2 linked regions of the Macaca mulatta genome follow. The protein of the gene in region 2 interacts with the protein of the main gene of each other region in a biochemical or structural test. Links are inferred from orthologs where the notes say so. Each region holds a gene or a part of one and is shown on either strand. Other genes may lie near its edges. The genes, in order: TOP3B and TDRD3.

Region 1 (7,433 bases), on a different chromosome or scaffold from region 2:
GGGGCTGGCGTCAGAAAGGCCAAAAGTGAGGACCAAACTGAGCCTCATACTCACCTCAAAGCAGATGTTCTCCCCCTCCTTGTCGCAGTCCAGCCACAGCACGATGTAGTCGCAGCCTCTGCCCTCCACCTGCCACACAGCACACGTTCACATGCACCTGCTGCAGACCCAGCCCATGCCACCTGCCCCGTGCTCCCATCCAGGACAGGGCTTGGTCCCAGGCCCTGAACCTCAGCTAGGACGACTGGTACCTGGGCTCAGGTAGGAGGACTGGTAGCTGGCTGTGGTGAGGCTGGCTCAGCCAACAGCAAACAATTGAGTTTATAATTGATGTTTTTTGGACCAAAAAAAAAAAAAAAGTGTAAGTGCAACATGATCTTAAACCCCAAAACTGCCCAGAAAAAGGGTTCCAATGAAATAACCCTAAATGATAACAGCAGTTGTCTTGGCTAATATGATTATGAATAATTTTTTTGTCTTTATACTTATCTGCACTTTCTAATTTTCCATAATCTGTATGCATTTGTTTTAAAATTAAGGGGAAAAAACCCCCAGCCAAACAAGCTTTTTTTTTTTTTTTTTTGAGACGGAGTCTCGCTCTGTCGCTCAGGCTGGAGCACAGTGGCGCGATCTCGGTTCACTGCAAGCTCCGCCTCCCTGGGTCATGCCATTCTCCTGCCTCAGCCTCACCAGTAGCTGGGACTACAGGCGCCCGCCACCACACCTGGCTAATTTTTTGTATTTTTAGTGGAGATGGGGTTTCACCGTGTAAGCCAGGCTGGTCTTGAACTCCTGACCTCAGGTGATCTGCCCACCTCGGCCTCCCAAAGTGCTGGGATTACAGGCGTGAGCCACTGCGCCCGGCCCAAACAAGCTATTTTAAAAGCAGAAGGCCTGCTCTCCAGGACTGAGGGTTGGCACTGGCAACTGCCTTGTGTGTTGGGGGTGCCTGCAGGTGCCTCATGGGCCAGCAGGGGGCACTCACAGAAAGAGCTAGCAAAGGCCCCCCTGTCCAAGGGGGATTAGGACTCACGCAAGGGTGGGCAAGGACAGCTGTGGAGGGTGGGGAGCCCGGGTGTGCTCATGCCCAGGCCAGCCCCACGCACCTGCAGGAACTTCACCATGTTCAGCTTGGGGTTAGCTTCCTTCTTCTCCGTGGGAGCTTGGCTGAACAGTTCTGCGGGGTCCACTTTGTCCCATTTGTTGTATTTTCCTACAAACCAGTCACAGTGACATTGAGTCACACCTCACAGTTCACAGGGGCTCAACCTCCGAGACCATCATAACCCCAGGATGATGTTGGTTTCATCCCACAAATGAGGAGGGGAAAGCTTGGAGAACAATTTGCCCAGGGTCATCATGATGATCAGAGGCAGAGCCAGGATGTGGGTTCAGGCCTTTGGTAACCCCCTTCCCTCCAGCCTCCTTTCTGCTCGGCTGCTGAGCTGACACCACACTCCGGCCAACCACAGGAGCCAAGCAAGCTCTCCGGGGGCTGCCACTCTGGCCTCACTTCCGGGACTTTCCCTGTGGCTGGGAGCATCATTCCTGGGCTGGCTTTCTTTGCCTGAGCACTGGACCCCACCACTGGTGTCTTCATTGACACTTCCAACCTGAGTTTCTGGAACTCCATCCTTCCACCCAGCACTCTGTGGGGGCACACATGTGCGCAGTCATTCCTGTTAAAGGACCCATCTTTTTGAGCCTCATGCCCAGCACATTCACCTACTCATCTACAGAGGCCCAGTTCTTGCATGCTCAGCTGTCTGGCTTTCTTTTTTTTTTCTTTTTTTTTTTTTTTTTGAGACGGAGTCTCGCTCTGCCGCCCAGGCTGGAGTGCAGTGGCCGGATCTCAGCTCACTGCAAGCTCCGCCTCCCGGGTTCACGCCATTCTCCTGCCTCAGCCTCCCGAGTAGTTGGGACTACAGGCGCCCGCCACTGCGCCCGGCTAGTTTTTTGTATTTTTTAGTAGAGACGGGGTTTCACCGTGTTAGCCAGGATGGTCTCGATCTCCTGACCTCGTGATCCGCCCATCTCGGCCTCCCAAAGTGCTGGGATTACAGGCTTGAGCCACCGCGCCCGGCCTGTCTGGCTTTCTTTTAGGCCCATTTCTTTTTTTTTCTGAGACAGGGGTCTCGCTCTGTCATCCAGGATGAAGTACAGTGATACGATCATGGCTAACTGCAGTCTCGACCTCCCAGCCTCAATCCATCTTCCCACTTCAGCCTCCCAAGACTACAGGTGCGCACCACCATGTCGGCTGATTTAAAAAGATTTTTTTTTTTTTGTAGAGACAGGGGTCTCACTATGTTGTCCAGACTGGTCTTGAACTCCTGGGCTCAGGCGATCCTCCTAGGCCCCATTTCTTGCATCCTGGGAGAATGGGGTCAGACAGAGCCAAATTCAAATCCCAGCTCCCCACCTGTCAGCTGGAGATAAAACTTGGGGTCCAAATGCTCAGCCACACAACCCAGTCACCATCATTGTCATCACTGTCATCAATGAGCAGCAAGAACAAGGGCTGAGGCTTTGCCGTGTGCTCTGCCAAGTGCCAAGTGCTCTGCCCTCACTGTCACACAGAATCCTTACAGTCTTGGGAAGCAGATGGCATTGCTGTGAGACCCATTTCACTACGAGAAGTGTAAACTCACAGAGGCTGTCAGTGCCCTCGTCTCCAGCCAGTGAGCTGGCAGAGCAGGGGGAAGAGCCTGGATCAGACTCTTGCCAACCACACGGCCCCACACCTATACCCAGCAGGTCACTAACACCAGCACTTCCAAAGTAATTGATAACAGTAACAATATAGGAATGACAATGACAGCCACCAAATGACCGACAGACGATGGTCAACTCGGCAACAGCAGCAGGCTTCTCTCAAATGCCTGCACAGGTCAAGCCCTTCCTAAGATAGGTGCCGCCACTTTGTCTACATAGGACGGTGCACAGGGAATGCAGTGACTAGGGGGTGCTGCTATGATGGGGACCCAGGGCTGAGCTCCAGAGCCTGGGTTCTGGGCACCGCACCCAGGAACCCTCTCATCACCACTCCATGATCTGCTGGCCTGATGACTCATGGAGTTGGGACAAACTTCCCTGCCTAGAGGAATCTCCTGGCTTCAACTGGACCCCGGCCAGCGCCACGCAGAACTCCCTTCTGTAGGATGGAGGGTAGAGGGGCTTACCCAGGAAATCCAGGGTCATCACGTGACCACAGACAGACGTCATCTTGAAGCGCACTGGCTGGCCAGCAAAGGTCCCAGTGTACTCGTGGACTGAACAGGCCCCGTTCAGCCCTTTATGTGAGGACAGGCTCCCTGGGGATGAGGAAGCACAAAGTGACTGGCTGCTTCACTGAGCTGAAGACACTGTGGAGACCCCGGCCTGGATGCCACCTCCCAGAGGGCCAGCGTCCTTCCTCAGAGTGGTGAGTGACAGCATTCCGCAGACTGCTGAGGGTAATTGGGCACTAAGAGATGGGACGGCACTCAGGGAAAACAGCATCTGCCAACAACCTAGCACAGAGCACTCTTGATGCAGAGCCCCAGGCTGCCAGGAGCCAGGGGCAGGCAGGCAGAGGTGGGATCTTCCTCTGTATTTATGTTTTCACTCTTCAATTCCATTTTTGCCTCACTTCATTGAAACGTTATTCATCATTTACTAAAATGGGACTCTAGATCTACTCTAGGTTACCAGGGACCTTCTAATTATTGAATTCTCACCCTCTCCACTGACCACACTCAGCCGTACTTTCTCAGGTTCTGGGCACCGGGCACCACTTTTGGGGCCTCCCGTCCTCTGCGGACCATGCCTTCTCAGCTGAACGAGGGTCTCTTCCCCCCTCAGCTGCTGGAGCCAGGGGAGGTCAGGTAGGTGCCTGTCATTTCTGGGTACCCAGCATCCAAACTCTTCCTATTTGGAGGGAATTCAAAGATGGGGGGAAACAGCACCCTACCAACCACCCCAGTGGCCAGAGTTGGGGGTGAGTGGCAGACATTCCCTCTCCAGTTCCCTGGTGTCTCAGTAGTGTCTGTGGCCACAGCTCAGTCCATTGGCTACTCTGGAGTGACGTGAGGTCCACAGGACAGTGGGAGTATCCAGGGATGACGATGCCTGGGGCATAGCCTCATCAGACCTCAACTGGGGTGTGGTCCTGGCTGTGTCTCCTTCCTTCCAGGGCTGGTTTCTGCTACCTGTACCTAACAGCCCTGCCAGGCCCGGCATGTGGACAATGACTGTCCTTCCACTTCATTGTAAGCTGTGCCTTGTGCCTTCTGGGAACCCCAGCTTTGGCACACTGCCAGGAATGGAAGCAAATGCACCCCACTGTGACATTCTGAGATGCTTCATTACCACCTGCTGACCGAACCAATCTACCCCAGCCAGGGTAGAGTCACATTAGGAAAAAGAAATGTCCTGTAACACATAAACGGCCGTGCTTACAGACCAAAGCAAGAAAGCATGCGCAGGGCTGGTCTCTCCTACCTCTAGAGAGGATTTTGGCAATTGACTGTGCCAAGGACGGCTTTTCGGCAACCATGAGCACAGTCTTCATCTTGTCTCAGCCCTTTACGCTCCAGTTTCGGGGCAGTGGCAGTGAAAAAGTTTACACTCCACTCTTCTGCAGCACAGCACTATTATCAATGCTGACCCCTAAAGAGAAGAAAAGACACTCAGGATAGCAATGCTGTCAAAAGAACCTATACCACTACAAGGAAACTCACTTTAACAAAGAAAAAACAAGACCAACCTGAGGCAAGAAGAAGAAAAATTAGGGAATTAGGGACACCTGAAGACATCTGAGATTAAAAAAACAAAAACAAAAACAAAACTACCAGGTCAACTGAAGTGGCTGAGATAATCCTGGGAATCTGGCTCCTTAGGTCCATTTGATTCCTAAATCCATGCTAGGAAGATGCCGGGACCTGGGGATCTCCAGTGATGGGTCAGGCCGGGTGGATGCCTGGCCCTCCTCTCTGGACTGGCTCTTCCACCTACAGGTGGACTCACCTGGAGAGAGGAACCATCATGGCCGAGAGCAGCACCACCCCCTCAGCTAAGCACTTGGATGCCCCAGGACACTTTACAAAATGCAGATGTCCAGGCTGGGCTCCCCAGGTCCTTCTGATCCATGATGGGCCTGAGACCCTCTGGCTAGTCGGTCCAGCACCAAGCAGATATCAGGGCTCTGTCACATCTATCTCCCACCTATTCCACTCCACCTTTTGCTTTGCAGGCCATGCTCTGGCCAAATTAAATCAAATATCATCATTTAAGCAAACACTCACTTGAAGCCTCTGTGCCTGCGCTCCCCTGCCTGAGAGAAAGCTCCACCAGGCCTGGAGGGTGCAGCTGGACGGCCCACAGGCCCAGCTCAAGTCTCCCAACACCACCGGCAGGATAAGTCAGCCCTCCTGTGCTCACGGTTCTTGGGCTAGGTCACCATTCCAACCCACTCACATTATGCCATCATCAGCGACTACCTCACCCCCGAAATAGGACATGATGGACTTTGTTCTGAATCACTGTTGGTCTTTGCAACAGCTTTCTGTGCCTGACACATGACATTCAATACTTGCTAGCCAAGTAAAAGAAAACCACATGAACCCTTTTTGTTTTTTCAATCATTATAAATGTAGCACTGATGTTTATAAACATAGCATTGTAGGCCGGGCGCGGTGGCTCAAGCCTGTAATCCCAGCACTTTGGGAGGCCGAGACGGGCGGATCACAAGGTCAGGAGATCGAGACCATCCTGGCTAACAAGGCGAAACCCCGTCTCTACTAAAAACACAAAAAATTAGCCGGGCGAGGTGGCGGCGCCTGTGGTCCCAGCTACTCGGGAGGCTGAGGCAGGAGAATGGCGGGAACCCGGGAGGCGGAGCTTGCAGTGAGCTGAGATCTGGCCACTGCACTCCAGCCTGGGCGACAGAGCGAGACTCCGTCTCAAAAAAAAACAAAAAACAAAAAACAAAAAACAAAAAACATAGCATTGTATTTAAAAAAGAAAAAAAGACTTGTATTGAGACAACTGGGAAACCTGCTGGGAAAAAAAATAAAGTTAGACTCCTGTTTCCTAACTCCCACTAAAACCGATTCCAGATCTAGCAAAGGTTTGAGTAGAAACAATGAAACCAGAAAAATATTAGGAAAAACATGTGCTTTTAAAATAAATCTCATGAGCCGGGTGTGGTAGCACATGCCTATAGTGTCAGCCACTCAGGAGGCTGAGGCAAGAGGATCGCTTGCTTGAGGCCAGGAGTTCAAGGCTGTTGTGTGCCATGACTACACCTGCAGATAGAACAGCCACTTCACTGCAGCCTAGGTGACAGCAAGACCCTGTCTCAAAAAAAATAAAAGCAAAATAAAATAATCTCCGCATGAAGAAAAACCACCACCTAGATGGGCACGGTGGCTCACTCCTGTAATCCCGGCACTTTGGGAGGCCGAGGCGGGCGGATTACTTGAAGTCAGGAATTTCAAACCAGCCTGGCCAACATGGCAAAACCCCGTCTCTAATAAAAATACAAAAATTAGCCAGGTGTGGTGCTGGGTGCCTGTAATCCCAGCTACTTGAGAGGCTGAGGCATGAGAATTGCTTGAACTCAGGAAGCGGAGGTTGCAGTGAGCCGAGATCATGCCATTGCACTCCAGCCTGTGCAGTACAGTGAGACTCCATCTCAAAAAAAACAAAACAAAACAACAACCACGTAAATACCTTTGTGGTATCACATCATGTCCAACAACACTCACGGAAGAAACTCAGAACTATAATGAGCTTGTGCTTATCATATAGGGAGAGACTCAAAGTCGTTGCACACACAGCAGACGAGGGTGTGGGGAAGTTAAATGGGAACAACCTCTATGTGTAGCAATTCAGCGATCCCTCTCAAAGTACAAGTGCACATCCCAGCAATTCCACTCCTTGGAATGAACGTAATAGTCCAGTTATTTATTGAGCACCTACTACATGCTTGGCCTAGTCCAGGATGCAGGGAACACAGCACAAAGCAACACCAGGTCCTGCCCTCCCAGAACGCGTGCTGTAGTATGGGAGCAGGGGAGGGACAGGGCAGGGCTGGGTGACACCTAGGAGAAGAGTCCAGGCAGGAGCAGGGAAGGTGAGGTCCTTGGGGAGGAGATGGGAGGGACATGGGAGAGGGAGGGGAAGGTGAGTCAAGAATGATCTGAGGCAGGGGCTGGGCATGGGCTCGCACCTGCCATGGGCTCACATCTGTAATCCTAGTGCTTTGGGAGGCCAAGGCAAGAGGACCACTTGAGGCCAGGAGTTTGAGAAGAGCCTGGTTAACACAGTGAGACCTCTTTACAAAAAAGCAAAAGGGACAACCCATGGCTTTGGCTTAGGCATGACAGGAAGGGACTGGCAGTCTGAAGTGAGACTTCAGGTGTGTTAAATGTGACCTGCCCATTGGACAG
Region 2 (7,552 bases):
AATACAACAGCACAATGATCACTTTATAACCTGTACTGTCATCATGCTTCTTATTTTTTCTATTTATCTCGTGGTTGTTTTCTAGTTCTACATTTTGATAAAGACCTTAATAAACTGTAGCCTTTCTTAGTTGTTCAAAGGTGAAACGAAGGGAAAGGAGTTATGTATGCACTTGGGCCAGAGGATGTCAGCATGGTGATAGCACCAATAATCAAATGGAGATAACCCCAAAGGGGTTAAAACGAGACCTTTGTTTATCCTCTCCATCCCATCTCTGCCCTCAAAACAAACAAACAAAACAAAACCTGGAGAACTCCATGGCTAACCCCTGGGTGTCAGAAACCTGGGCTTCCTAAGACTACATGTTCTTTCAGAACAAAATGGAAATGCTATTTCATATGCTACCTTAAAGGGTCTTCAACTCAAACTACTGGGTAAAAGACGCAAAGACACACAACATAGTGTCCCACTTTTTCAGATATAGTCATCCCCCAGTATCCATAAGGGATCAGTCCCAGGGCCCCCACAGATAACAAAGACTACTGATGCTCAAATCCCTGACACAAAATAGTGTAGTACAGTATTTGCATACAACCTACACACGTTCTCCTGTATACTTGAAATCATCTCTAGACTACTTAAAATACCTAATACAGTGTAAGTGCTATGTAAAGTTGTATTTTATTTTTTAGTCATATGATTTTTGTTGTTGTATTTTTTTTTATTTTTCCAAATATTTTATGACTGGTTGAATCCAAGGATGCAGAACCCACAGATATGGAGGGCCAACTGTATTCTTAAACCTCAAAAAATACAGAATGTACCAGATTTTCAGATAAGCCTAGTACGCAATTAGTTGATTCACTGCAAGGCAAAGATTTATTTGATTCTAACAGGATCACCCCTCAGAATAGGCCCTTTATCTTTCCTCGACTAGGAAAGTAAATTTACACACCACAAAATGCTTCAACCCAATTTTCAATTTTAAAATGTGTCACTTTTGATCAATAATTTAAATTAGATGTGGTCACTTCTGTTAATTTTTGGTGGAAATGAGTACTGAATCTTTACTCTAGACATCTGGGCTCTATTCTTGGTTCTGCCATTTATAACTGAGCAAATTATTGAAAACTCTGTGCTTCAGTTTTCTCATATGTACAAAGAGAGAGTTAAAGCTATGCAACACTGATTCCACGGAAGATACTCTTTTTTTTTTTTTTTTTTTTTTGAGACAGAGTCTTGCTCTGTTGCCCAGGCTGGAGTGCAACGGTGCAATCTCGACTCACTGCAACTTCCGCCTCCTGGGTTCAAGCGATTCTCATGCCTCAGCCTCACCAAGTAGCTGGGATTACAGGAGACTGCCACCACGCCTGGCTAATTTTTTTGTATTTTTAGTAGAAATGGGGTTTCACCATTTTTGCCAGGCAGGTCTCCAACTCCTGCCCACCCGCCTTAGCCTCCCAAAGTGCTGGGATTACAGGCATGAGCCACCACCATGCCCAGCCAGAAGATACCTTTTCAAAAACAAAAACACAACTGATTAGGTACCCCGTGACATGTTTCTGTTAAAAACAAACAAACAAAGGATGAAGATGGAAGAGAAAAATTCAAAATGTCCAGAGATCAACCTTTTAAATCTTTCTCCCACAAGTAGAATTTTGTATTTCCACTCAGAGTGATCAGGGATATCATCCCAAAGGAGAATGAATCTCTGAAGAGAGAAAACAAAAATGCAGAGTGAGTAATACTGTTATCTAGATAAATTCAGAGTCAGATTTCTTTTCCCCATGAAGTTATTCCACTCATATAATTAAGCTTTACAAGGTACCATTTAGTGCATTATTTAAACATAATCACTATACTGTAGAAAACCCTGAAACATTTAAGTTCAAATCAGCAAATCGTTTGTGTGCTACTGGCCATTGAAGAAAAAAAATTATTTTAAGTCTGCCAGGTAGCTACTTTTGAAGCTATATTTTAAAATATTGATTTTTACAGCGGTTCTAATGAAGATTAAAACCTTAAGAAGGAAAAAAATTGCACTTAAAAATAATGGAAACTTGAACAGATTGGTCTACATAGATCTTCTGTACCCCCCTGAAGATCATATTTTCAGAATTGTAAACTTTTCAGCACTAAATATTTCCCTAATCTGCTATTTTAGGTAAAGCCTGTAGAACAGATTTAACAATAGTGTTTCCATGTTTTAGCATCTGTTTCTTTTTAGCTTCTACAAGTAACTACGCACATACATTTGAATACGAAGAAAAATGGTTTGTCAGTGACAGTAACAGAGAACCCCAAGTATAAGAGCAAACTCAGGATGTAAGAACTAAAATGAGCTAGTGAAAGCCCTTCAGTCAGAAATTTTCCTTCCAGTGCTCTTTTCTGCCTTTAAACCTTTGTGATTCTAAATTTTAACATAGTAAGTCCCTAATTAAAGACTTCGTCGAAGCCACCTGAAAGCCTAGGAGATCCTCATGCCTAGTCTGTTCAAGACCTAGCAGGAATTACATGAAACTCACAATTCCTAGAAAGATAGTCTTATTAGCCCCACAGATTACTACTGCCTTTATGAGTTACTGCCACACAGAAGCAGCACAGACAGGTGGGAGAAACATAAACAGATAAGTTGCAATACAAAGTAGCAAATGCTACAATATAACATTGCTGAAGATTTACAACAATATCACAAAGCAGGGTGGGACTCTGCCTAAGCTTCTGCAGAGGCCCTGTCCGGAGAATTCTGACTGGCAGGGGCATTCCAAGGTCAACTGTATTAGACTTTACAAAGAACCTACAATCTGGTGCACTTCTTGACAATCCAGATAAGGAGAAAAATAAGACTCAGTTCCCTGCCCTGGAAGAGCATAAGAGGCCACAGAAAACAAAGTCAGCATGTGTTCGGGACCTAAAAAATGAGACTAATCTTTCCAGAGGAGGCGGGGTCATGTTGGAAAGTAGTAAAATACTGACTTTGTAAATGAAAATATTACTAGTGTGAAGGATCAACGCTCAATCTAATGATAAATGGGGAGAAAGGCAAATGAAAGAGCGACCCAAGATAATTCAGGACACCCCTGTGGGTAAAAAAAACTAAAAGAAGAGATTCCTATTTAACAAAAACAAAACTGAAGCCAGTGAGTTTTTAACTCTACAATCTTTTACGCCAATGCTGTTCTGTGAAAAAACTATAGGAACAATAACGCATAAGAGTTAAAGGAACCAGGACCAGAGCCAGGCCCTCTGTGCTCAACATTCAACTCCACCACTTTCTAGCTATGTCACTTCGGGAAAGTTACTTAACAGCTCTTTGCCTCAGTCTCCTCACCTGTAAAATGGGGTGTTTAACAACACAAGGGCCTTTAAAACCAGGAAGGGCTTCTTCAAAACACAGTTGTGATTATATCCCTCCACTGATCAAAAACTTTATTCACAAAATCAAATCCACATCTTTCACGAACCATACAGATCTTGTGTAGGTTCTGCAAAACAATAAGCGCTTCCCAGTCTCTAGCAGCTCTGTGCTAGAAAGCCTTTTCCTTACCATCTTCCCAAGTCCACTTCAGGAAATTAACTCTCCCTCCCATTCCACAGTGCACTCATCTGTTACTCTGTACATACGGTTTACCACTATTCCCCCTGGTTTTGTTTGGTCTTTTAATGCCTCACTCTTTCTTCCAAAGCAGTAATTGCAGAGAGCCAAGGCAAATCTTTTTCATCCCCGTTCCTACCCTTCATCCCAGAATGTGCCTGTGCAAGTCTGGGAAAAGCGTTACTGAATTAAACCGGATGATTACAACCGTAATGGCCGCAATTCCAGAAACTGCCTAACTTCACATAATTCTGTATTGTTTTCAAATCCTGAAAATCTTGACACGAAAGGCCTCTTAAATTCAGAACACCATCCTTTCAAGAAAAGTTCTACCGAGCACCCCCCACGAGTTGACAATGCGGTCATTCTTAGCTCCAGAAGTTGTGTGTGTGACGCGGAGGGCAGCTTCACACTGGTCCACACTATACTTTGAAATAAGGGGCAAGAAGAGGCGGCTCCGACCGCAGCGCAGGCTGTGTGCCGCTCTGCCCTCAACTTCCTATGGGCCCGCGGGCTCCGCCGCGTTGGTCCCTCTGCTCCGCACTTCGTTCCCAGCCTTCGCCTCCCCTTGTCCCGCCGCAGAAACACCCCCTCCCCGGAGCGGCAGCGCGAAGGCGCTGCAGGTCCTCTCCGGCGCTCCACTCGGCCGGGGTCTGGGCCGCCACCCGCCCGGCTCGCGGCCCCCGGCCTCTCCCCAGGCCCGCCGCCCGCCGCCCGAGGCCCAGGCCGCTGCCGCCGCCGCCTCGAGGGGACACAGGGGGACTCGCTGGGCTCGCGTGGCGCCGGGGGCGGAGCCGGCCCGGAGGGCCCGGGGAGAGGCCGGGGGCGGACAGCAGCCTCCGCCTACCCCGACACGTACCCCGCCGCCCCCAACCCAAGCTCCTCGGGGCCCCGGCCCGCGCCAGCGGCCCGGCAGCCGGCGGGACTCGCCACTTACCAACCCGCCTGGGACAACGCCGCGTTGGCCACCTGGGCCATGGTAGCTGCTTAAGCCGGGGGTGGTGGGGGGTTGGGGTGGGGGTGGTGGGGAGGCCTCCTACTTGAGACCCCCCCCCCAAAAAAAAAAAAGAAAGAAAAGAAAAAACTCCTCTGGTCGGCTCTGCAACTGGGCATGCTCAGTGCGGCCGGCGCTTCCGCGTGCGGGTTCCGCTCGCCGCGTTTTCTGAGCGGCCGTAGGGGCCGGCCTGGTGTGGGGCTTCCAGGCTGCCGAGCTCCAGGACCTGATCCACCAAACACGGGCCGGCGGCTAGGGTCAGGATAGCTCAGGGACTTTGCCTCTTCCCCGAAGGTTTTTACTTGTTTTGGGGGGCACTCTTCTGAGTTGCACACCTTGGAAAGTCGTGAGGAGGTTCTTCGTAGAGCAAAAGTGTGGCGTTTGCAGCGCCGACAGGCGGCCACCTCAGAGAGGGCAGGATAAGGCCTGAGGAGACTGACGGGTTGGCTGCGAGGGAGCGCGTCCAGGATGGCGCTAAAAAGGTCACGTTGCGGGAAGCCAAACTCGGAGGTGTCCCCAGCCCATTCTACACGAAAGTTTACTTTTTTATAAAGACTCGTTCCCTTCCCCTCGCCTTTTGGTCCGCCGGGACGCAAAGAAAAAATGCAGCTCAGCCTTGAGTCCCCACGGGCAGATCGAGTTGCCCAAGTCGGACACCACAGTGAAAATGACTGGTCAGCCCAAGAAAACCTGCTCTTAGGGAATATGGGGAAATGGGGCGGTTGTGTCAGTGCTTGTTTTTCCTGTTGCCCTCCCCCTGGGACTATCCGTGTCCCAGCGCGGCCCTGAGACCTTAGCTCTGTACTGCCGCGTCCGGCAACCACAGCCGCCTCCCCGCCGGTGCCCTTCGCCAGCGCTCCAGAGGGCTGGGGCGCGGGGTGGGTCCCTGAGTGGGCATGCGCGGCGCCGTCGCCGAGCGGCACGGCGGACGCTGCCGTGCGATTGGGCGTCCGTGACTCACGCTGGCCAATCAGAGAGGAACAGGAGGAAGGGTACAGGCGCTCCCTGAAAGATTGCTCCACCCTCTTGGTCTTTCACTTCTGCGGCGTCCAGTAGGGCTGGCAAAGAGACTTTTGAGGGGTACTGTCCCCAGCTGCCAGGTCGGGAGAAGACTGTTACGAACTTAACCCCAGCTCCGCCGCTTGCCGCTGCTGCTTCTAAGGGCATCATCAAAAAGAGACTTGGAGCAGAGACTGCGGAACTGGGCAGAGGCGCTCTTGGGATTGGGGAGGAAATTGACAGTTACGGAAGGAAGGGGATAATTGCCCAGGGTGGAGCTAAAATTCCTTAATACAGATTTTTCTCATTTCAGCTGGGATATTCCGTTTGGTCTTCCCAAAAGTCATAGATATAAAATCGCGATGCTTTCCTTAGATGGAATGTATTGAGATTTGCTCCCAGGCATATCGTTTAGATAATTTTAAATCAGAAGTAGCTCCATGCTGTTCGCTACAATGTGCCGTAGTATGTAGTGTTTAGGTGATAAGTATACTACAGGTATATTTCAATTTATAGTCATCGGCCATCATATCCAGGAACCAGGAATAGATATGCCTTTTTAAATGTAAGTAGATGACTCAAAAATAAATTGCCAATAATTTTTATTGGTGGTTAGAATTTTCTCTTACCAATTATTTACATTTTGCAGTTAGTGTAACCTGTTAACTATGAAAATGATAAGTTGTCCCAATCATCAGAATTGCTCACTGGTTATAAAGCCATTTGTTCTCACATGCCATGTGATTCAGTAAGGATTTACCACTGCATGGTCCTTACAATAATAAAATACTCCACAAAATACTAAATTCCCTTCAAGAATGGGATTTTTACTGGAGAAATGTGGGACAAATGAGCATCCAAAAAATGGTGACAATAATTGATGAAACACATTGAATTTCTTCGGAGTGCCACGAAAAATAAAAGGGAAGGAGGACAAAACCTTTTCTTTCAGCGGAATACAAGATAGTAAATGCAGAACAAATGATAGAATTAGAAAAATCACAATTTTCCAAGTCAACCACAATTGTTTCAGGAAAATTTATCAGAAGATACTAAAAGTCACAGGGTAAAAGACTAGGAGTACAGGATCTTCACATGGTCTCAAAGTATCAAGCCATAACTTATTACAGAAGGGAAAATGTACCTTATCTTGAAAAAAAAAAAAACCCTGCCTTAAGAGATCAAAGCTAGAATCACTAATAATGGGACACTCTAATGTAATCTGCCTACTGATGTAATGCAATTAGACATACACATCACTTAAGAAGTATTCTTGCCAAAATTGTTTAACCTGAATTTAACCAAGCTTCTGGACAGTGGATCCTAAACTAACCCCCACATCCCCAAATCCATTTAGCAATGTCTGGGTTGTCACAATCTGAGGAGGTAGGAGTATTGTTATGCATCTCATGGGATGCAGCAGGAATACTGCTAAATATCCTACAAAGCACAGGACATCCCTGAACTCCAAAGAATGATCTGACCCAGAATGTCAGTAATGCTAAGGTCTAGATGTAAGAAGAAATGTAAAGGACGTATAGGTGATATTTGAGCAAGTTAAACATGAAGACGCAGGCACATAAATCCACAATGAGGCATATTCTCCTCTGGCCTAGACTGTTAAAATGTAATTTAAGGTTTTTTTTTTTTTTTTTTAATTGAGAGGGGTGTTTCGCTCTGTCGCCGAGACTGGGTTTCACCGTGTTAGCCAGGATGGTCTCCATCTCCTGACCTCGTGATCCGACCTCATGATCCACCCGCCTCGGCCTCCCAAAGTGCTGGGATTACAGGCGTGAGCCCCCGCACCTGGCCAGAAATAATTATTTAAAAAAAAAAAAAATAAGGTCGGGCGCGGTGGCAGGCACCTGTAGTCCCAGCTACTGGGGAGGCTGAGGCAGGAGAATGGCGTGAACCCGGGAAGCGGAGCTGGCAGTGAGCCGAGATTGCGCCACTGCACTCCAGCC

The links.
Region 1: the proteins of TDRD3 (region 2) and TOP3B form a complex in vitro, tested with the Homo sapiens proteins (2 studies listed by BioGRID and IntAct, with this or other methods). The link is inferred for Macaca mulatta from reciprocal best matches to the Homo sapiens genes TDRD3 and TOP3B.

Annotation. Positions count from the first base shown.
Region 1 is NC_133415.1:31,015,087-31,022,519, reverse strand, and holds the start of TOP3B (DNA topoisomerase 3-beta-1), read right to left. Parts: upstream 4,649-7,433; 5' UTR 4,553-4,648; coding exon 4,483-4,552; intron 3,315-4,482; coding exon 3,183-3,314; intron 1,214-3,182; coding exon 1,107-1,213; intron 130-1,106; coding exon 55-129; intron 1-54. UniProt on the Homo sapiens protein: Releases the supercoiling and torsional tension of DNA introduced during the DNA replication and transcription by transiently cleaving and rejoining one strand of the DNA duplex.
Region 2 is NC_133422.1:39,862,055-39,869,606, reverse strand, and holds the start of TDRD3 (tudor domain-containing protein 3), read right to left. Parts: upstream 4,713-7,552; 5' UTR 4,574-4,712; coding exon of another isoform or gene 4,533-4,573; intron 1-4,532. UniProt on the Homo sapiens protein: Scaffolding protein that specifically recognizes and binds dimethylarginine-containing proteins. Plays a role in the regulation of translation of target mRNAs by binding Arg/Gly-rich motifs (GAR) in dimethylarginine-containing proteins.